Astyanax mexicanus: one gene and its partners. The protein of the gene in region 1 binds, or shares a complex with, the protein of each later gene. Links are inferred from orthologs where the notes say so. Each region holds a gene or a part of one and is shown on either strand. Other genes may lie near its edges.

What was found. The genes of interacting proteins can lie anywhere in the genome.
Region 2: nhp2 (region 1) and tert share a complex: the UniProt entries of both Homo sapiens proteins name them as parts of the telomerase holoenzyme complex. The link is inferred for Astyanax mexicanus from reciprocal best matches to the Homo sapiens genes NHP2 and TERT.
Region 3: nhp2 (region 1) and gar1 share a complex: the UniProt entries of both Homo sapiens proteins name them as parts of the H/ACA small nucleolar ribonucleoprotein (H/ACA snoRNP) complex. The link is inferred for Astyanax mexicanus from reciprocal best matches to the Homo sapiens genes NHP2 and GAR1.

Annotation. Positions count from the first base shown.
Region 1 is NC_064424.1:10,696,654-10,703,994, reverse strand, and holds nhp2 (H/ACA ribonucleoprotein complex subunit 2-like protein), read right to left. Parts: upstream 3,000-7,341; 5' UTR 2,819-2,999; coding exon 2,665-2,818; intron 2,537-2,664; coding exon 2,467-2,536; intron 1,281-2,466; coding exon 1,175-1,280; intron 1,029-1,174; coding exon 903-1,028; 3' UTR 544-902; downstream 1-543. Other genes in the region: grpel2 (grpE protein homolog 2, mitochondrial), read right to left, coding at 6,241-6,566, 7,083-7,164. UniProt on the Homo sapiens protein: Required for ribosome biogenesis and telomere maintenance. Part of the H/ACA small nucleolar ribonucleoprotein (H/ACA snoRNP) complex, which catalyzes pseudouridylation of rRNA.
Region 2 is NW_026040049.1:365,000-372,839, forward strand, and holds the start of tert (telomerase reverse transcriptase), read right to left. Parts: upstream 3,254-7,840; 5' UTR 2,846-3,253; coding exon 2,636-2,845; intron 1,564-2,635; coding exon 171-1,563; intron 1-170. Other genes in the region: nucleoporin NUP42, read right to left, coding at 4,566-5,104, 6,352-6,466, 6,595-6,681, 7,610-7,686. UniProt on the Homo sapiens protein: Telomerase is a ribonucleoprotein enzyme essential for the replication of chromosome termini in most eukaryotes. Active in progenitor and cancer cells. Inactive, or very low activity, in normal somatic cells.
Region 3 is NC_064417.1:31,157,766-31,165,048, reverse strand, and holds the start of gar1 (H/ACA ribonucleoprotein complex subunit 1), read left to right. Parts: upstream 1-4,030; 5' UTR 4,031-4,197; intron 4,198-6,756; 5' UTR 6,757-6,772; coding exon 6,773-6,995; intron 6,996-7,116; coding exon 7,117-7,271; intron 7,272-7,283. UniProt on the Homo sapiens protein: Required for ribosome biogenesis and telomere maintenance. Part of the H/ACA small nucleolar ribonucleoprotein (H/ACA snoRNP) complex, which catalyzes pseudouridylation of rRNA.

The DNA.
Region 1 (7,341 bases):
AAAGCTCAGCTGAGCAAATTTTTTTCCAGGTAACGAGTTCTGTGATTAGTCTAACGAGTAGGACAGGTGCGGTGAACACCTGATTTGCTTTCTGCACAAAAAATGCATTCAAAGAATTTCATGATTGCACTATTTCAAATTATTCTAATTCGTTGACCAGCACCTGTACATTAAGTGAACAAAGTGTCCATAGTTTGAGAGTTGACTTGAGTTTTGTGTACTAAATTCTTTCAAATATTTTATCCTGGTTTTATTCATTTTTTTAGTGTAGACTTATCCCATTATTAAGAACAACAGCTGCTAAAGTGTTGCTCAATGTTTGCATATTTCTATACATGAATGACTGGAAAACACTGAAAAGACCAATGTCATACAATGACCAAGTCAAAAGCCCTGAACTTAATATGAGAATCAAGAATCTGTGAAAACTCACTATTTTTATTTTACTATTATTTTAAGAGCATATTCTGCAAATAAAATACTCAGTATGTGTGTTAGTGTGAATGACTTATTTCAGAACAAATAAAACTGACACTGTTGAAATCATTTCATAGATTTTACTTCAAAATAGTTCAGATATCTCAACACAAACATATCCTTTAGAGTCAAAATAAAGAATGAAAGCAAAATGCAACATTTCTGGAAAAACTACATAAAGTAGCTGTCTGTTTTTAACACCAGTACACAAAATACAGTCAACAGGTTTCAAAAGAAACATGAAAATCATATGGTCATTCTTTCAGCTGAATGGCAATTCCTGGGATTGCTGGTATTACAAAATGTCCATAAAGCTGTGAGGCCCATCAGGATGCCAGGCCACACAGCACATTTACAACTGTGCTGCCAAACATCAACATAAGGCAATAAATGTTCAAATGACACCAATGCAGACAAGCACACACTCAGAGGGGTTTGGGGAGGGCAGAGACTTCCTCCAGACACTCATCATAAGACTCCTTGTATTCATCGTGAGGTTTGATCATGATCACACAGGTGGGACGCTTTGAACCAGCCGAGGAACCCAAATCCTGCAGATGAAATGAAAGGCAGGTGTGTCACAAACTATTGCAAAGAGCATCACAGTCATATATCAATAGTTGTTTATCAAGTTGCTAAGTAATTTGTTAAGCTTAAAATACATCATAAACTGTACACCCAACATGGTCACACTCACCACTTTTGAGGGAATATAAGCATAAGGAAGGTTTCTGTCCTCACACATGACTGGCAAGTGGCAGTAAACATCAATCGGAAGTGTATCTCCAGCAAGCACCACAATCCTGAAAAGGACAGAAAACAAAAGTCGCAAATGTTATTTCTTTAACAGTCCTCAGAAAATTGTTTATTTAATAGCTTCCAAGGTGGTGGCTACCTTCACTATACTAATCTCCACGATTTCTTTAGCAGGGTAATGAAGGCTGTAGTCTATAAATATTCCATAATTGTTTAATGTTAGAATTTAATTAGTTTTTTTTTATTTGCATTTTAGTCACCAAAATTTTCCATAAAGATGGCTAGAAATGTGCTACAACTTGTGGCTAATTAATTTAAACTAACTTTTCTGTATTTTTCATTCATGTTTTCACATTTTCATTTAGAATTAAGGCTTTTGGTTGGTTTTACTGCTCAACTGTATAATAAATTATCACATTTTTTAATAAATGTCTATGGCAACTGTCATATGTTTTTGGAAAAAAGTAGCATCTACTCCTCCAGAGAGTAAACAGAGCGCACAGATCAACTGTTTTTGTAAAAAAAAATAGGTAGAGTCAGGTATTGTCAGTCTTGTTTAAGAGAAAAACCTAATCTATTTTTAAACACTTTGTGGTCGAACACTGACCCTTGGCACAATTACCCAGCCAATGCAAGGTTTTCTTGTTTTGGGAATTTTGCAGAACAGTGAGAACTCCAGGATCTAAAATGGAGTGAACCCACCTTCTACAGTCACACTTTAATTCCTTGCTATTGAGCCAAAAGAGCACATGGTTACGTATGAGTAAAGTTCCTTAAAGCACCCGGTCCATCATTTTAACTCAAGAAGTCCCTATGTGACACACATTGCAGAATAGTGGGTGAATGGATGTTACTTTTTCTGATCTTATTTACAAAATACAGGAGAAATGGGATAGGGCTGGAGACAAAAATAGCTCATTTATACAATGCATTTTCTGTTCCAAGCATTTCAACAGTTTAAAGGCTTAAATAAAATGTTTTGCTTTTCATAGAACTAGTTCTGACCTGACTTCAAGAAGAAAACAATAAGTGAGTAAATTGTTGTTGTGTCCTTTAAGTTACATGAAAGAGCTGCAAATTCAATTTATCAAATTCAATTTTAAAAATGATCAATATTCAGAAATTGGTCTGGGCTCTTATGGGTTTAAAATGTATGAATAGCTTGTCAGTTATGAGTTAGGAGTATCAGAAGTGACTGAGATTGACTTTAGATTAAAATAATCTGTATTTTACCCAGTCTCTCCTTTGTTTATGAACTTCTGCACTTCTTTAACTCCCCGGCGAATCTGTTTCAGCTTGGCCGCTGCAAAACAAAATAAAAAATTACACATTACAGGATCACTCAGGATCTGTCTCGTTCTTTTTATAAGTGTTATATACGTCTGTTAGCTTTTGGGGACTGAAAATAGAATGTTTGTTTGCTGTTCTCACCTTTTTTGACGCATTTATAAAGCTTTTTGCTGAGTTTTCTCGAGGCTAAAGGGTTCGCGATGGGGTTTATATTGGCTATTAAATCCTGGTAGGATCTCTCTGTGGCTCCAGCCTCTTCCTCAGTTGCGCTCTTCTCCTTCTTTATCTTCGTCATATTTAACACTGTGAAATAACGGCAGATAAACTGTTTATTGGGTTTTTAATGCAGTGTTTCGCCGCGCAGCAGCACAAACACACGTGTTGGAGCTGCGTTACTGCCACCAGAGACCCTTCCGCTCTGTCGCCAGCCTGCACTCAGTTTCTGTTCATGACCGCCCCTAGTGAACGGAGGACTGAACCTGGAGTTACCGAAGTACCATAGACATAATAAACATTTTTGTTTAATTAATGTTGTATACAATACAACTCAACAGCCTAAAACAGATACAATATTAGGTCAAATACACATTATATACAACCAACAACTCAAGCACATAAAAACAAAAACACAGATAAACAAACCTAAACAAACATAAAAAAGAAAAGTGGGATTCAAACAAAATCTAAAAGCTTCAAAACATCAATACACTTAGTTTTGTTAATATAAAATGTACCTAAAATTATAATTAAAATTACTGTAAAATTTGTATGGTTAAATAAAGGGACATCAAAAAAAAATAAAATATATATCCGTTTTTAAAGGGGATTTCCTCACCCAACCTCTTCACTTCTAAAAAAAGATCAATTCAAAAAGAGCAAGAAAATCCACAATAAAAAAAATAAATGTAGACATAATATACATAGACACCTCATCATGGGCTGAAGCATCGCCGCCATATTGGTTGGGTCTGTGTAGATAGATAGATAGATAGATAGATACTTTATGTGTATGTATGTGTGTATTTATGTTTTATTCCCATTTCAAATTAACAATAAAACTTTTTTCTTCATTAAAATATCAAATTAATTCATTAATACACTTATTTATACACATTAATATTCCATACCACGTATGTCTTTGTTAAAGAGCATAATACAACGTATTTCAGCTTAAAAGCAGGTATTTGTAATGTGTGTCTGAATCATAACTACATCTCTGCAGTATGTAACAAACCAACCGTGTGAAAATCGGGTAAAAATGGCTAGAGTTGTGATTATTATAGTTGTATTAAAAACCTTCCTCAATACAAAGGCACTTGGGGCGCATGGGAGACCCATCCAATATGGCGGCCCCGCTGATAATCAGCTCCAATATGCGGCATATATGTGTATTATGTCTATGCGTAGTACATGTAAATGCAGGCCAAAGAATCAAAGGGCGTGGCGAATAAGCGAGGATACTGTCAATCATTTCGTCCATCAGCCAATCGTACAACAGAGATCAACTGTCAAAATATTATATAATTAATATTTGAAACAAATAAAGAGACCACTTCAGTTTCAAAATCAATTTCTCTGGTTTTGCTTTTTATAGCAATGTATATGGGTAATGCTGCAGACATGTCAATCATCCAATCAATTAAACCAATTAAATTCTTGCTCTTAGCCATCAAGCACTAATTATTGATCCCTAAATATTTAAATCGGTCGTTGAGCACAATGTTTGTGGTATAGTTACCAGGATGACTGTTTCTCTGTGACTTTGAATTATCATCTGTTATCAGCACTGATAAATACAACCTGACTACAACAAGCTGAAATGCTGTTTCTGCTGCATCCAGCCTCTTAAAGTTAGATCTTATTTACAGCATACGTGTTTACACCTGTCAAAACTTTATTGTATCCTGTAACTCTATTCATAGTAACATGGTGTAATAACAATATTAAATCATAATAATTAAACATTTATAAACTATGACTGCTCTCACTTCATAAAAAATATTTAATATATTAAACTGAGACATAAGATTAGCAATATTAGCTAAATCTGGATTTACAGTTTATGTAAATATGTTTTTATTTTCGTTTATTTTCTTTAATATGTTGAACTTTTTACCCACAACACCAAATATTCCTGCAGTTATGGGGAAATTTAAGCCTTTTCAATACCACTAAAATTAAGAACACTTTAGCAATACAAAATGGCACATTACATTTAAGACTACAGACTTTAGAGTAAGAGTATTCCTGGATGATCTGATAAATATTTGAAACAAACATTAAACTTGTATATCAAATTTGAAAATAGTAAAAAAAAAAAAAAAAAAAAAAACCTTTGGGAGATTTTAAAGATAAAACAGCTAAAAATTACAAGGATAACGTTTCAGCTGTTTTAATGAAACAACAAAAAGCAAAAGTAATGCTGTACTGAACATGCCACATACTACACAACTAAACACATACATTTCCTATAGGCATCTGAGTTCTCAGTGTCCGCACACTACAAGAAAAAACTAGACACATGGCTGTGAGGAGATATATATATATATACACATAATATTACAATTCACTTTCTATAACTTAAATTATTTATATATATAAAAATATCTAACACTGTAGAAAGTGACAAGTTTCTCTTTTGTGATATGCACTTTATATGTACAATGTAAGGTGCACTAACGCTATATTTTTCTGACATATATTTTTTTATAATATTAGAATATGTTAAATAGAGTCTGCTCTTTGGGCACTGCTGATCTAACATTAAGGCACAAAACATGACACATCCCAAAATTGTCAGTATGTCAGTAATAGTGTGACCACTATTAAGTAAACCTTTACAAAGAGGCTTTTCAGGCCATCCTCTCACTCTATGTAATGCCTTCAGAATGCTAACCTCAGAAGTTACAGTACAAAGACATTTGGATTGCACATTGTACTGCTAGAGAATATGTTGTAAACGTAACAGGGTCCCAAACAAACACAATACCTCCCAATCACAAGGTTCAATGAGGTATTATAGTTCTGAAAATTAAGGTACCATGAAGTGTAATACAGTTGTATTACATTGTGGTTGAATCATCTTATACATATAAATACAGTTTTGTATCAGTGTTGACTTCCCAAAAACGCTCATTACAAAATCAAAGAAAAAAATAGTAAAAGGGGGAAAAAATAAACAAACAAACAAAATTACAGAATGTTTTAAATAAAGACAAAAACATAAATCTGTACATGGCAATAAACAAGAACACATAGGTATTTAACACTGCAAAAAACGAAACAAATAAACCATCATATCAGGGACTGAATTAGCTGAAACACCAATAAGCCATAATATTAAATCCACCTGCCTAATACTGTGTTTGTTGGGTATGGACTTCACAAGACATAACCAGCATTAACCTTCGAAGCAATCTGTGCTGTAGTAGCTCATCTGTGGTATTGAACCTAAACCTGGCCTGGCCTTCCTTCCCTATGCACAGCCCTTTTTCTCAGTTCCAACAGATTAACTTCAAAAACTGACTGTTCGCTTGTTGTCTAATGTGTAACTCTCACCCCATGATAGGTGTCACTGCAATAATATAATCAATGTTATTCACTTCATCTGTCTGTGGTGTCAATATTATGGCTGAACAGTGTGCGCATATATAGATCAGTCATGCACTGTTCCAAGAGCTTCAAGTCGGGGTAGTATAAAAAAAACCACACCGGTCATCAAGACTCCTGGGTTTTTACAGCGATGCCCACATGCGCATGACGAATAGTGCGCCCATGAAGTTTGTACCCGTCCTGCTTGACTACGGCTATAATACCGGGCTCCACTCCTTCTGCTGGAGTGTGGCACACTATCTCATGCTGATAAGGGTCATACGTGGACCCCACAGGTTCCATCTTCTCCAGTCCATGTTTGGTGAAAACTTCTTGTAGTCTTCCCTGGATTTGGGCCAGGTTTTCAGTCAGACTGGTTGTCTCTGTGCTCCCTGTAGTTTTCTCCAACATGTCAGCTACTTCAACTAGGTCCCGACAAAAACTTTGAATCCCTGAAGAAGAGACAGAAAATATTAATTATCAAAACAAACTACTGCTGATTAGTGGTTATAAATAGCTGTAATAAAAGCTTTACAGTCATTTTATAATTCAATTGGTATGAATTAGAACTGATCTAACACTGACTGGCAGTTGAGGAAATACATTTTTTAAATGTATTCATTTTAGAAAATAACTGATTTACTACTACAAAATAATTCTGATTATGTTAAAATCTATCATGTATAATTCTAACCTAAATATGTATACACTGTACACTTGATCTACATGGTTACCAGTAATGTTGCTAATAAACTTTCACCAGTCAATAGCAAGGCGCAACTATATTTTCGTTCTGCAATAAATATATATTAAAAAAAAGATTTGTGAGTTTTAAGTGCTAATTTTAATTTGGACAACAAATATGTTTAGGCTGATCGACTGTATCTAAACCAAGTGAGAAAACCTGTAATTTGTAATTATGAAAAAACATGTAGTCTATAATGCCTATAAAACACATTTAACTTTACCAAAGAGCTTGGCGTCCTCGACAAACTTCTGTGTTCTTCTACGGACATTGTCAGAGTCAGCAACAGCTCTTTTGTACCTCTCCTGTGAAACACATGGACATTATACCATATATTTTAACCATGTTTTTTTTTTTTACACCATCCTTACAAAATACATGTAGAACTGCATTAAACCATTGGCAATGAACATTAGCAAAGTGAGTACATGGAGTAAAGCATTGAGTAATCAACAAGACAAATAAACAGAACTATAATTCTG
Region 2 (7,840 bases), on another chromosome or scaffold:
ATGTCAAATGGAATAGAACGAACCACAGTATGAAGGGCTTGGAAAAGTGGAGGAGGACAGAATGTGGTGTAGAATGGGATCTGAAAGGGCTGCGAGGCAAACTGACCGAGACTTGGGGTGAGATAAAAGGTACAACAGAAAACGATTTAATTAAAATCCTCAGAACTTACGTTTTTTGTGTCCGACCCAGTGACAGTCGCTCACCCTCATCCTCCACATGACCTGCCCCAGCGACAGCCTCTCAAACCTTCCCATCCGCAGGAAGTGCTTCACCTGGGACAGGAAGGTCAGGAGGTTGTGCTCAGAGCCCCAGAGCTGGTCTGGAATGACGTAGCGTAGGACCTCCCTGACGAACAGGTACACCCTGTAGGCGGAGCAGTGGGAGACCAGCAGCGACAACATGTCCTCCTTGCCCTTGCCACCTGAGCACTTCTTACGCAGAAAGTGAGCATAGGGGCATTTTCTGTGTTTCTTTATTAACTGGCTGAAGATGGGCACCATGCTGAAGAAGCGTCTTGGAAGCTTCTGGGGCTTTGGTTCTGCTCCAGACAAGTAGGTGTTTCCCTGGAGGAAAATAATCCTTACAAGCTCCGCCCCTTGCAGGTGTTTAGGCCCGCCCACTCCACCCCGGACCTTCCTGTTAAGCAGAAAACCCTTCATGCCACGGCCACAATAGAGCATGCTCAGTACCCGGATGAAGCAGTGGGAGGGGCACGAAGGCGGTTGGTCACTTGGCTTCCAGCTGGACACACCCTGCATGGAGGCGTGGCCTGTCGAGGCTGGCTCCACCTTTTCTGGTTTCTGAGATTCTGTCTTAGCTGTCTCTATGGGATCTAAAAGACAGACGTTACTCTGTTCTTCATTGTCTACACATTTCCTTTTGGCCTGACTACGTTCGTCCTTCGCTTGTTCTCCTTCTTCTACTTCATTATCATCATTTTCTTCTTCTTTCTTTCTCTTTTTGGTGTTTTCAGTGTTGGAGTTTTCTATGTCAGTGTTCACTCTTGTACTACATGCTTTAGGCTGGTTCTCTTCAGTGGGTAAGTCTGTTTTTCTAGCATGATGCCTAATTTTCCTTGTTTTGCGAGTCCTAACCTTGGTTCCACTGGTAGAACCATCTGTTTCAATCCGTTCTTTTTCATTCTTTCTCTTGCTTCTGCTCACAGTAGTTCTGTTCTTCAGATCTCTTCCCTGGTCACTCCTTTTCCAGGTGACAGGTGGACCAGATGTGAGAAAAAACCCACACCAGCTACGTACAGGTACCATGTCATACAGAGGCACGCCACAGAGCTGCACCAGGCAGGAAGGGGGTGCTGTAACGAAGACAGCACACTCCTGCAGCAGGAACTTGGTGACTTCGGTACCCAGTCGCTGGTTTATCTTGGCCCAAAGCTCACTGCCGCTGATAAAGGCCGCACTCTGGGAAAGGGAGCCGTGGAACTTGAAGGGGTCCCAGTTCCCCTGGCGGTCGCTGTAGTGATAACCGAAGTTCAGGACATTCCTCCTCTTCTTCCTCTTCATGTGGTTCAGCACAAATGCCAACACCTCGGGCAGCGTGGCCAACTGGGAGAACAGGAAGTGAGATGGAATTTAACAACTTTTTACAAACATTTTATATCGTCTTTATAGAGCATGTACAGTACCAGTCAAAAGTTTGGACACGTCTTCTCATTTAATATTTTTTATATTTTTTCCTACATAGTAAATGAATATTGAAGTGATCTACGAAGCATGATGAAGTATTTAGATACTCTTATCTGAGGAGCTGTTTGTTAACTTGTGGTTTCTGAGGCTGGAAACTCTGATTAACTTATCCTGTACAACAGAGGAAACTCTCACTCTTCCTTTACTGAAGTGGTCCTGATGAGTACCAGTTCCATCAATAAAATGTTTTTGATGGTCTTTCCTTTAACTACATTTGAGGATACTCTCAAAATTCTTCTTTTTAGATTGACTGACCTTCATTTTATCGTACAGTATTTTTTTTTCTTTATTTAGTTGAGTAGTTGTTGCTTCTCATAATCTGGATTCGAACATTACTCAAATATTCACTATTCACTGTATACCTGTAACTCTACCTCTTCACTACTTTACTTTAACTGATGCTCTCAAACTTTACATTAAGAGACAAGAAATTCAAGTAATTAACTCTTGATGAGTTCAGCACAGCTGTTAACTGAAAGCATGAATTCCAGGAGACTCTACCTCATAAAACTGACTGAGAAAATCCAGCAGAGATGTTCAAAACTGATCATCTAAACAAGAGGAGATACTTTAAAGAATCTAAAATATAAAACATATTCTGGGTTGTTTAACACTTTTCTTTATTAAACAATTCAGTATATTTTATGTAGTATTAGAGTTTACACACTAAGCGATGTCCGTAAGATGAGGTTAAATAATGGTTGTTTCTCCATCATCAGCATTAAAGAAGCACTAAAGCTAAAAACTTATTGCATGTTTTCTGTTACCAGGGAAACCAGCAGCAGGAGGAGCTTAACTTCAACCACATGGCCCACACGTTGCCAGGCAACATATAAACTTCCGCATACGTCACTGAAGACTCAGAGAGAGGGTAAACCCAGCCACGTGTGAGCCTGGGCGATTCAGGTATCAGTAAACACAGTGAATTTACCTGTGCGCGGCTGGCGGCGCGCGGGAGGCGCGAGTCCGTGCACACCACGAGTCCCCGCATGAGACCGGCGAGGCGCGCGGGGTCCGTGTCCCGCAGCAGCGCCGCCCCGCGGCCATCCGGGTACTGCACGCTGTCCGCGAACTGCTGCAGCGTCCTCACCGACCCGTACACTCCCTGCAGCAGCGTGCACGCGCCCTGCACCCCGCTCATCTCAGCCCGCGTGCAGATCACTCCCAGATCACTCCTCACTTCATATACCGCCGCGCGCTCACCTCACCAACCACAGCTCCGCATCAACCCAGCGCTCAGTACCCGGATCACAATCAACACACAACGTGATTGGACAAGAGCTCGAGATCCCTTAAAGGCACAGAGGCACTGTGGCCACTTTATCGGAAACAACTACCTACTTTGCGCCTCTGGCCACTTTATCGGAAACAACTACCTATACGGTCTTTCTAGCCAGTTTATCAGATATGCTTACCTTGTCCTTCTGGCCCCTTTATCAGAAACACATACTTATCCTGTATTTTGGCCAAATTATCGGAAACACCTGCCTACCGACCTTGTCTTTCTGGCCACTTTATTACATATAACATCCATATATAACACTAAACCTACTGTTTTGACTTACTGGACACTTTATAGGTTGGTTGGTAGGTTGGTTGGTTGGTTGGTTGAGTTTAACGCCACATCAGCTCATCAGCTATTTCGTGGCAGGATAGGTATTGTTTATTCACAAGGTTCTATGATCTCGTCCTTAGATGTGGACTCTCAGTTTGGTAATAGTTAAAAAGTTCAGTACTTTGTTTGCATTGTCTTTGTTGAAAATGTCCATTAGTGTATCTGACAGGCAGATTTTTTGTTTTGTAGGTAAGTATTTTGGGCATTCGGTTAATATATGTTTTACAGTAATAGTTCGTTGGCACACATCACAATGTGGGGGTCTTTCGCCCTTCAGTAAAAAGTAGTGCGTCAGTCTGGTGTGGCCAATGCGGCATCTTGAGTAAATAACTTGATCCCATCTATTGTCTATATACGCGTTGGTAAAATGATCTATTTTGGGGTTGAGCTCGTACAGTTTGCTGTTTGTTTGGGTGTTCCATTCGTCTTGCCACTTCTCTTTGATGTATTTGTGAATTAGGGGCATTATATCTGTTGGTGGGAGTTTGCAGTTCGCTGTTTCGGCCTTTGATGTTCTTCTTGCTACCTGGTCTGCTTTTTCATTTCCAGTGAAGCCACTATGTCCTGGTATCCAGCAGAATTTTATATTAATATTTTCATTTGAAAGGTTGTGTAATCTATTCAGAATGGACACTTTATAGGAAACACCTACCTACCTCATGATTCATTGGTCACTCATTATTAACACAAATCAAAAACTAAGGACTTGTTTATTAAAAAAAACAACTTTATTATGATACAGCTGTACATTAGCCCCGCCCACAAAATGCCAGATACAAATGATACAAATAAAATAAACTTTACATTACTATGAAATAACAATCTGTTAAATTACAGAAACCTAATACTCTCAGTGTGCTCCTCATTAATCAAAGAGTAATCGATCAGCCAAGTTCTGATCAAAGCTAACGTAGCTAACAAGTCCTGGAATCTTCTAAAGAGTAAGTTAGCACTGGAGCGGTGAGGCTAACATAGCCAAAAAGTAATGGAAGCTTATACCCCACTAATTAGCATGTTTAAATATTCGTACACTGCGTTATATTTTAGGCTGTAGGTTATCTAAAACATGGAATAAATTATGTTAGCAGTGTTTATTAATTCCACAGTCTAATGATTAAGTTGTTTGTTAGCCACATTAGCCTCGTTAGCTGTACTGTAAAGCTAAAGTCTGGGCTGATGAATATGTATGTAGTAAACAGGGTAATCAGTTTAAGTGTGTTTTATTGTAAAATTGTGAGTCTGGCGTTTAGACCGTTAGCAGCTCCGCGGGCGGCGGTCTGAGGGGAATCTGACCCAGTGTGAATCGCTTAGCGCTGAACTCCCTCAGCTCATCCGGGGTGAGTTCACTCTGAGGGGTGAACAGGTTTTCTCCAGAAGCTGCACCAGCCGCTGGACCCCCACCGAACCCGCCGGCACCGGCCGAGCTAAACAGACTGCCGCCCCCTGCTGGAGCGGCGGATCCGAAGCCGCCCCCTGCTGGAGCGGAGGAGCCGAAGCCGCCCCCTGCTGGAGCTGTAGAGGAGGTGAAGCTGAACCCGGAGGCGGATCCGAAACCTCCAGAAGAACTCTTGCTCGCCACCGGAGAAGCGAAGGAGAAGGAAGAAGCTGTAGGAGTGGAGGAAGGAGCAGGCGAACCAAACCCACCAAACCCGGTGGAACTGGGCTGGGAACCTGTCGATCCAAACCCGGTGGAACTGGACTCGGAATTGGGCATTGTAAACCCGGGGCTGGCTGGAGCAAAGCTAAATCCACTTGCACCGTTTTGAGGGGCGCTGGATCCAAAACCTGAAAAAAATATATATTAAAGCTTAGCACTAGTGAGGTACATTTATGATTAGAATAGCATTATTGAAGTAAATGTATTATGGTAGCATATGGTAGTATGGTATGGTAGTATGGTATTATGGTAGCATTTATGATTAGAATAGCATTATTGAAGTAAATGTATTATGGTAGCATTTGTAAATGTAAAATTACAGTACCATTAGGTACCTGTACGTTTGTAGTAAAATTACTGAAGTAATTGTATGATCATAGTAGCATTTCTGAGGTAAATGTATAATTATAGTGGCATTTCTGAGGTAAATGTAGGATTATAGTAGCATTACTGAGATAAATTTATGATTATAGTAGCATTAATGAGGTAAATGTCTGGTTATAGTAGCATTACTGAGATAAATTCATGATTATAGTAGCATTAATGAGGTAAATGTCTGGTTATAGTAGCATTACTGAGGTAAATATGTGGTTATAGTAGCATTACTGAGGTAAGCGTATAATTATAGTAGCATTTCTGAGGTAAATGTACAATTATAGTGGCATTTCTCAGGTAAATGTATGATTATTGTAGCATTACTGAGGTAAATGTATGATTGTAGTGGCATTACTGAGGTAAATATATAATTATAGTAGCATTACTGAGGTAAATATAGGGTTATAGTAGCTTTACAGAGGTAAATGTATGCGTTCAGTTGTATTACTGAGGTAAATATATGATTATAGTAGCATTACTGAGGTAAATGTATGATTGTAGTGGCATTACTGAGGTAAATATATAATTATAGTAGCATTACTGAGGTAAATATAGGGTTATAGTAGCTTTACAGAGGTAAATGTATGCGTTCAGTTGTATTACTGAGGTAAATATATGATTATAGTAGAATTACTGAGGTAAATGTATGATAATAATGGAATTGCTAAGGTAAATCTATGAATATAATAGTTCTACTGAGGTAAATGTATAATCAGAATAGAACGGCTGAGGTTAATGTATAATGACAGTAGCATTACTGAAGTAAACATATGATTATAATACCATTACTGAGGTAAATCTATAATTATAATAGCATTTCTGAGGTAAATGTATGATTATAATAGCATTTCTGGGGTAAATATATGATTATAGTAGCAATTCTGAGGTCAGTGTATAATATAGTTGCATTACTAAGGCAATTTAATGATTATAGTAGCAATACTGAAGTAAATGTAAGATTATAGTAGCATTACTAAGGGAAATTCATCTGTGGACTCACCACCTGATCCGAATCCAGGTGCTGATGATGACAATGATGATGAAGATGAACCGAACCCTGACGATGGAGAGGAGAAGCCTCCACCCGAAGATCCCGGATTGTTCAGCTCTGATATCTGCAGAACAAACACAGATCAGACACCACCACTAATAATGGGTGTAGAAACCAGGAGATGTTTGATGGGTGGATGTATAGAGTGTAACTTGTAGAAAAGATTGTATTTGGTTCTGCAGGGTTCCTCACCATGGTGGTGCGGGTGGAGGAGCTCATGGTCCTTAGCTCCTGCACTCTGGACCTCCACTGATTGGCCAGCTGCTGTACGGAGTTCGCCTGGAACACACAGCACACGTCAGATCATCACATCTACACTACTGAACTACAGCTCCACCCGAACCACAGCTCCACCCGAACCACAGCTCCACCCAAACCACAGCTCCACCCAAACGACAGCTTCACCCGAACCACAGCTCCACTCAAACTACAGCTCCACCCAAACCACAGCTCCACTCAAACTACAGCTCCACCCGAAATAGTGCTTTCTGAACTACAGCTCCACCCGAACCACAGCTCCACCCGAACCACAGCTCCACCCGAACCACAGCTCCACCCGAACCACAGCTCCACTCAAACTACAGCTTCACCCAAACCACAGCTCCACCCGAACCACAGCTCCACCCAAACCACAGCTCCACTCAAACTACAGCTCCACCCGAAATAGTGCTTTCTGAACTACTGCTCCACCCAAACCACAGCTCCACCCAAACCACAGCTCCACCCAAACCACAGCTCCACCCAAACCACAGCTCCACCCAAACGACAGCTTCACCCAAACCACAGCTCCACTCAAACTACAGCTCCACCCGAAATAGTGCTTTCTGAACTACTGCTCCACCCAAACCACAGCTCCACCCAAACCACAGCTCCATCCAAACTACAGTTCCACCTGAACTTTAGCTTCGCCTCAACTACAACTCCTTCTGAATTTACAGCTCCACCCGAACCACTGCTCCACACAAACTAGTGCTGTCTCTGAACTACAGCTCTTCTGAACCACTGCTCCACCCAAACTACAGCTTCACCCAAAACCACAGCTCCACTCGAACCACAGCTTCACCTGAACCTCAGCTCAGACCAAACTACAGCTCCACCCAAACTACAGCTTCACCCAAACTACAGCTCCACCCAAACTACAGCTTCACCCAAAACCACAGCTCCACCTGAACCCCAGCTCAGACCGAACTACCCAGTCTGTACTTACGTAAGACTGTAGATCTCCAGAAGCTCTGCTGGTGTAGTACTCCATCCTCAACTCCTCGGGAGAGAGCTCCACAAACCCTACACACACACACACACACACACACACACACAAACATATACACACAAATATATATATATATATATATTGTTATATCAAAGTATCAGGATATTTTGTATTTTTTTTATTAGCTGTATTTTGGTTTTAAATTAGTGTCACAATATACTGATATGC
Region 3 (7,283 bases), on another chromosome or scaffold:
TTCTTAGCACAGCAGTGACACTGGAGTGGTAGTGTCATAGATAACATGTCCACCTGGGTTGAACACTGCACATGGGGCCTAGATGGGACCTGTATGAAATTAAGATGGGTTGTAATGATTGTGCTAGTACGAGTGGATCCGACAGAGCAGACTCTTGATTTATTTATTTATTTATATGTATTTGCTATCTTTCTCCAGTTTTTCTGAAAGTGGCGGTTTACACACGGTTGCCTCATCTGTCACAGCTTTTCATACAATCACGCTCATAACGCAGCGATGTGGGCTTCACGAGGCAGTGCTGCGAGCAGGTGGGTGACAGGCAGTGATCAGCGTTCGTTTGTTTCTCTTCATCACGTTTAAGACTGATAAAACACACAGCGACTCAGTGAGTCACGAAGACAAACAGCTGAATCACAGCCTGGCTCAGGTAATGACGACTATAAAGGAAACGCGTTCGAGCCAGATTGACGTATTTAAATAATGAACTGGTTTGTTACCAGTCATGGGAACAGCTTCTGCCTCGTTAGATTAGTCAGATCTTCCCACAAATCCAAACTCAACTTGAGTACAAGTACAAGCAATTGGGAGAAAAGAGTTTATTTAGGTTAATCACTCATCTGCATGTCCATTTTTGTATGAAACAAACAGGGTAAGTTTCTGAGACAAGCATTTATACTGATAATGGAAAATCTCCATTCAAAATATTGTGCAGTCCAAAATTGGCTTAATCCCTGACTAGAAAACTAACCCATTGTGTTTAGATGCAATATAATGAGGGCAGCTGGTGATCTACATGGGATATTTGAAGCAGAGGAAGGTTTTAAACAGTAAATACTGAGTTGAAGTCACACCTGAAATTGAGTCCTTGGTTTATTATAAGTGTCAACACAAAGTACAGGTGTGAACAGGTGTATTCAGTAGGCCTATGTCTCGAGGTGCATCATAATGCCATCACGTAGAGACATTTATGACCACATTAGCCAAGTTCCGATATCCCACTGGACACTGTCCACACAGGTTAGCAGGTAACACTACAGTAACAAGCTAATGGATAAAGTTGATACTCATGGCAGCAACACAAGCTTAACTAGCAGCCTAATCTGAATTTAAACTGAGGACTCCCTCTGAATAAAATTTGAATTCTCTTACTATAACTAATCTCTCTTCTAGCATAAATTATGTGAGAAATTTGTGACAGGATCACCCATGGCGTGTGTAAATGGAGTCTTGGAGGGTGAGGACAATACATGCCTCCTCTGATATGATATGAATTCAGACTTCATCCAGCCAACATGTTCGGAGGAAAGCGTTGGATCCTCTCTTCTGATACATCTGCCAACAGACACCTGTGCTGGCTAGCATCACATTGAGGATGATGGAGGAGAGAGCGCCACCTACTGTACCCACCCAGAGACAGCATAGACAAATGTACTCTCTCAGACTCCGGCTGCTGATGGCAAGTCTTTTTAGCTCAGCTAACATTACTATACTAGCTCTGTACAGCTTGTATCTTTTAGCGGGAAAACAGCCAGCGGTTGTAAACTGACACAGAGTGTGTTAATTGCTGCTGAACGCTTTATTTTGTTATATGAGAATGGTGTAAAAATTAACATGAACCTAACATTTATCAGCTAAACTTCTGAACAGCACAGTAAATGCATGTATATACAGGTTACATGGTCCCACTATATCATGTGGTTTCCTCAATATGCTCTATGATAACTCACAGCCTTGGTGTATATACAGCGTATATGTATGGCTGGCTTTGAGCCGCTGTGAGTAGACGTTCAGAGCTTTTCGCCCACAGATCATGACATTCACCCCTAGCCGTTAGGGATGCTCTTCAGAGACCCGCTCAACATTCGGCACGCCCCAGTCTGAGACGGACCCATTTAGCCTTAGTCACGCAGTCTGGATTTATCCTCTAAACGGAGGAAGAACTACAGCCCAATACTCAATACCCAGCAATACCACCAACCAGACCTATCTCTCTCTCACTCTCCCTCTCTTTTTCCATCTCTCTCTCTCTCCCTCTCCCTCTCTCTTTTTCCCTCCCTCTCTCTACCCCCTTTTTTTCCACCCCCCCCTCTCTCTTATTCTCTCTTCACATTTCTCTCTCTCTCTTTCCATCCCCCTCTCTTTTTCTCATTCTCTTTCTTCACATTTCTCTCTCCCTTTTTTCCCATCCCCCTCTCTCTCATTCTCTCTCCCTCTCTTTCTCCCCCTTTTTTTCTATCTCTCTATCTCTCTCATTCTCTCTGTCTTCACAGCTTTCTTTCTTTCTCTCGGTTTCTCTCATCAAATCTCTCTCCTACTCTCTCTTTAATTCTTTTTCCATCTCCCCCTCTCTCTTTTCACATCTCTCTCATTCTTTCTTTTCACATCTTTCTCCCTCTTTTTTCATCCCTTCTCATTTCTTTCTCTCTCTTCATAACTATCTATGTCTCTCTCTCACTCTCTCTTCACAGCTTCATCTGTCTCTCATTCTCTTTCTCGTCACAGCCTTTTCTCTCCTCATAATCTCAGCTTTGTCTCCCTTCGTCTCCCTTTCTCTCTCTCTCTCTCTGTCTCTCTCTCTCTCTTGCCATCACTCCATCCTGTGTACAGAGTGTGTTCGTGTTCCCACGCAGGACGCTGACAGCTGCCCGAGGCGCCAGCAGAAAAACTGACAGCTCAAAAACACAGAAGAAGAAAAAGAAGAAGACGGAGAGGAACACAACTACTGCTATTTACAGATGTGGTCTACTTGTGTGTGTGTGTGTGTGTGTCAGTCCATCTCTCCTGACTGCAGTTTAGAAGCAGCTGCTTCACCCCCTGAGAGTACAGCAACTACAGCCTCACGTCAGTGGAACACTGCTGCCCCCTGCTGGAGAAACACATACACATATATACACATACACAGAAAATATTAGAATATCATTAAAATTACTTAATTTCAGTAATTTGGTTTAAAATGTGATACTCATATGTTATAAATGAAGACCCAAAAGTTAGTACGTCAGAAAATTATAATATTATATAAGACCAATTGGTACTTTTGGCAATGTGGGCAGTGTGATGCTGGAAAACCATTGAACATCAGTAAGTTTTGCATTTCATTTGGAAATCAAGGGACCAGAGTTTAGAGAAAGAGCGGAGAAGCACACAGTTCAGTGATGTTCTGTAGAGCCACATCTGCTGGTGTTAGTCCACTGTGTTATATCAAGTTCAAAGTCAGTGCAGTGTTTTCCCAGAAAATCTTACAGCACTTCTTGCTTCCCTCTGTTGACAACTTTTATGTAGATGTGGATTTCATTTTCCAGCAGGACTTGGTACACTGCCCACAATGTCAAAGGTGCCAACAGGTCTTATATAATGTTCTAAATTTCTGAGATACTGACTTTTGGGTCTTCATTTATAATATTTTGAACCAAATTACTGAAATAAAGTTAATTTTCGGAAAAATAATCTAATATTTTCTGTGGTTTTCATTGGCTGTAAGCCATAATTACAACAATAAAATAAATAAATGCCTAAAATAAATCGCTCTGTATATAATATAAAATAAATTATAATTCTGCATGTGTTCCTGTATAACTTGAATATTTTTTATAAATTATTTACAATGCAAATTTATAGTATGGAGAAACAACACATCAACAAAACATGATTTAAATATATGATGAATGATAAATGATAATAATAAACGGATAAAATAATACATAATTATATATTATCATTTTATTATTATTCTTTACTGAGGGAAATATATCCGGAGGGTAGAGATACGGGACAAATCCAATGATTAAAAAGTGTAAACAGTGCTTGATATTAGACCACAGAAATGACAAAACAAAATACATAAATACCAACACAAATTTCCCCATATTTTACCTCCTTTTTTCTCCCCCTCTTTTCCCCTTTGTCACTACCCCTCTCCGCTGAGTTCACTTTTTTTAAGTAAAATATATGTACTTATTTATTTAAGTTAAGAACTGTAACAGTGCCCCCTGCCGGACACCACTATACTCTGAAGTTGTAGTTATAGGTTTACGACACTCTGTGTTGCTTAGCGGTAGCGGCGGTTCCCACGTGCGTGCCGGGAGAAAGAGCAGCGCGAGGAGTGCAGTTCAGTTTTTTACAGTTTTCGGTTTAATTTTACTCGGATTCTTCCTCCCCGCGAGTCTTTGAGCTTCAGCTGCTTCTGCCCGGGTTCAGGTGAGTCTAGCAGCGGGGAAAATCAGAAGCTGAGAGAGCGTGTCCGAAAATCCGGATTAAACTCCGTGTTTAGCTGAGATTTACTACATTCAACAGTTTAATACTGAAGTTTTAATCCGGATTCACGCATTTTAGTGGCAGCGGTTCTTATTTAAAATGCGTGTTTAGAGTGATTAGAGCTGTAGGTTAACGTTAGCTTGGTGTAGCACTTTGATCCGAAACCCGGCAAATCGTGCACCATTTAGCTGGTTAGCTATTTTCCTGCCACGCTCTCTGTAGACTGTTCATAAGTTTTTAAGTATTATTCTTTTAGCATGCAATAGAACTTGTACTGGTTTTATTAGTTAATATCTTTAAGTAGTACGTTTGATTATGTGAAGCTATTGAATCCTTTAATCATTAATTTATTAAATATCCTTTTTTTTAAACATGGTTGACTGATGTGTCGTTTTGAAGATATATAATGTAACTAATATTCGAAACAATACATTTCCTCCCTACTGATATTGAATAGAAAACGTTTTAATGTGTGTTATTAAGTAGATCGTTATATAATGCTTGAGTTTTGCTAAATTAGGTTAACTAACGTGGAAAAACGTGGGTCTTTTAAAGCAGGCGTTGTCCATGGCTGCCGAAAGGGTCCTTGAGACGCAGTATCTGGTATGGTTCACAATTCGATGCAACACCATCGCGATAACTCTCTTAACCATTCAAACTCCTGTAACAATTCAAACTCTTAAAGCGCGTGGGTCTCGTCTGCCCTTGTTCAATCGGAGAAATATAAAGCGAAGTATTTAACTCGGATCAGGGATTAGTTTTCTTTAGTGTGGGGTGAAAGGGAAGAAGAAAGGGCGACAGACGTCGCCATGTGTTGCCGCTAACATGCCATTTTATTTACTACGTAAACCCGCCCGTGGTCTTACACTTGTCTCTGTCTTTTATATGAATATTGATAACCTGCTTAATGTTAAAATTGAGGTAAATCCTTAGAATGACGTGTAATTACTGTGTTTTCTTCTGCTTGGTTGCACAGTATTATGTTGCACAACTACTTTTACAGGTTTGCGCTTTTAGAGTTAGTCATTTCTGTATTGTACTGTGCAAATGAGTGTATATATCCTAGATTTTTAGCTCTTTTTTACCTGTTTGGTATCATTTTATGTTTGACTTCTCTGATTTACCTTTATAATCTAATAAAATAGTATTTCTTATTATTTCATGTGAGTGAGTAGACTATGTCGCTGTGTATGAGACAAATACACTTTCAAAATACTGCTCTGGAAAAATTGAGACCGCTTCAGTTTCTGTATCAGTTTATCTGATTTTGCTATTTATAGGTATATGTTTGAGTAAAATGAATGTTGTTGTTTTATTCTATAAACTACAATTTCTCCCAAATTCCAAACAATATGCCATTTACAGCATTTATTTGCAGAAAATAAGAAATAACTAAAATCAGAAAAAAGATGCAGAGCGTTCAGACCTCAAATAATGCAAAGAAAACAAGTTAATATTCATAAGATTCATTTTAAGAGTTCAGAAATCAATGTTTGGAGGAATAACCGTGGTTTTTAATCACAGTTTTCATGCATCTTGGCATGTTCTCCTCCACCAGTCTTACACACTGCTTTTGGAAAACTTTATGCCACTCCTAGTGCAAAAATTCTAGCAGTTCAGTTTGGTTTGTTGGCTTGTGATCACCCATCTACCTCTTGATTATATTCCAGAGGAAACTTGTCATTTAAAAGTGGTCTCTTATTTTTTCCAGAGATGTCTATTTAACCCTCTATGGCTTAGTGTTGCCTGCATGCAACAAACCAACTTTCTGTTTTTTGGTTATTATACCTTTCCATACCATACTTTACATATTGATTTACTTACCTATTACTTACTTACTATTTATCTTTAATATAATGCTACTTGGCATATCATTGTCCAATACAGTGAGGCAAAGCAGTGAGTCATAAATAAAAATATGTATATGTTTAATGCTGGGTGGTAGGACAAAGTACATCATGGTATTTTTTATTTTTTTTTAAGATTTTAATGGTTTTTACGGTATGTCACGGTGTTATTATTATTTATTAAGCGTTTTTTGCATTACTGGGCTTGTGCTAAATAAATGATTCTGTACCTAGGACCAATTCTGGGCTTGTCTGGGGGAGCAACTTTCCCCCCAAGCTGTGGCTCAATCGTGTAATTCCATTCCTCACTTTTCTGAGTAAATATTTGTTTATATCTGTTTGCTGCTGCTTTTCTATTTTACTCGGATAAAAATACTCAAACAGTGAGGAACAGTAGCAGGAGCTCCTCAGATAAAGTGCTGTTATGTAAAAATTCTGCATCAGAGGGGAAGGTATACCGGATAAACCGATATACCGCCCAACACTATGCCGCAAACACACTTTTTTTCCCGTTTTTGTTCCAAGAAGATCCAAAAAGATGGTAGTCTCAGTATGAAAATTATTTCAAGCACTAGGAGGCGAAATTGCTAAACAAAGTAAATTCAGTCAAACTGTCTTTTTTTTTTTTTTTTTTTTAAATATACTCTGTTTTTAGGTTTGAATTCCTGAGTATGTCTTTCCGTGGAGGCGGTGGCCGAGGTGGTCGTGGTGGTGGTGGCGGTGGCTTTGGAAGAGGAGGAGGAGGTGGAGGAGGAGGCTTTGGGAGAGGTGGTGGTGGTGGTGGAGGAGGCTGGAGAGGAGGAGGAGGCGGTGGCGGTAGAGGAGGTGGACGAGGAGGAGGAAGAGGCGGCTTCAACAGATACCAGGATTTTGGTCCTCCAGACCACGTAGTCGGTAAAGACGATGATTAAGACCTAGTTTATTTTCTGTACTTAGTATTAACATTGAACTAGCAGGTCATACAGTGTGAAATAATGGTAGCTGATGTTTAATTTCAGTGTTTTGTCGGTTGCAGCACTGGGAGAGTTCATGCACCCCTGTGAGGATGACATTGTATGTAAGTGTGTGGCGGAGGACAACAAAGTGCCCTTTTTCAACGCCCCTGTCTACTTGGAGAACAAAGAGCAGATCGGGAAGGTGGACGAGATCTTCGGCCAGCTCCGAGACTTTGTATCCTTAATT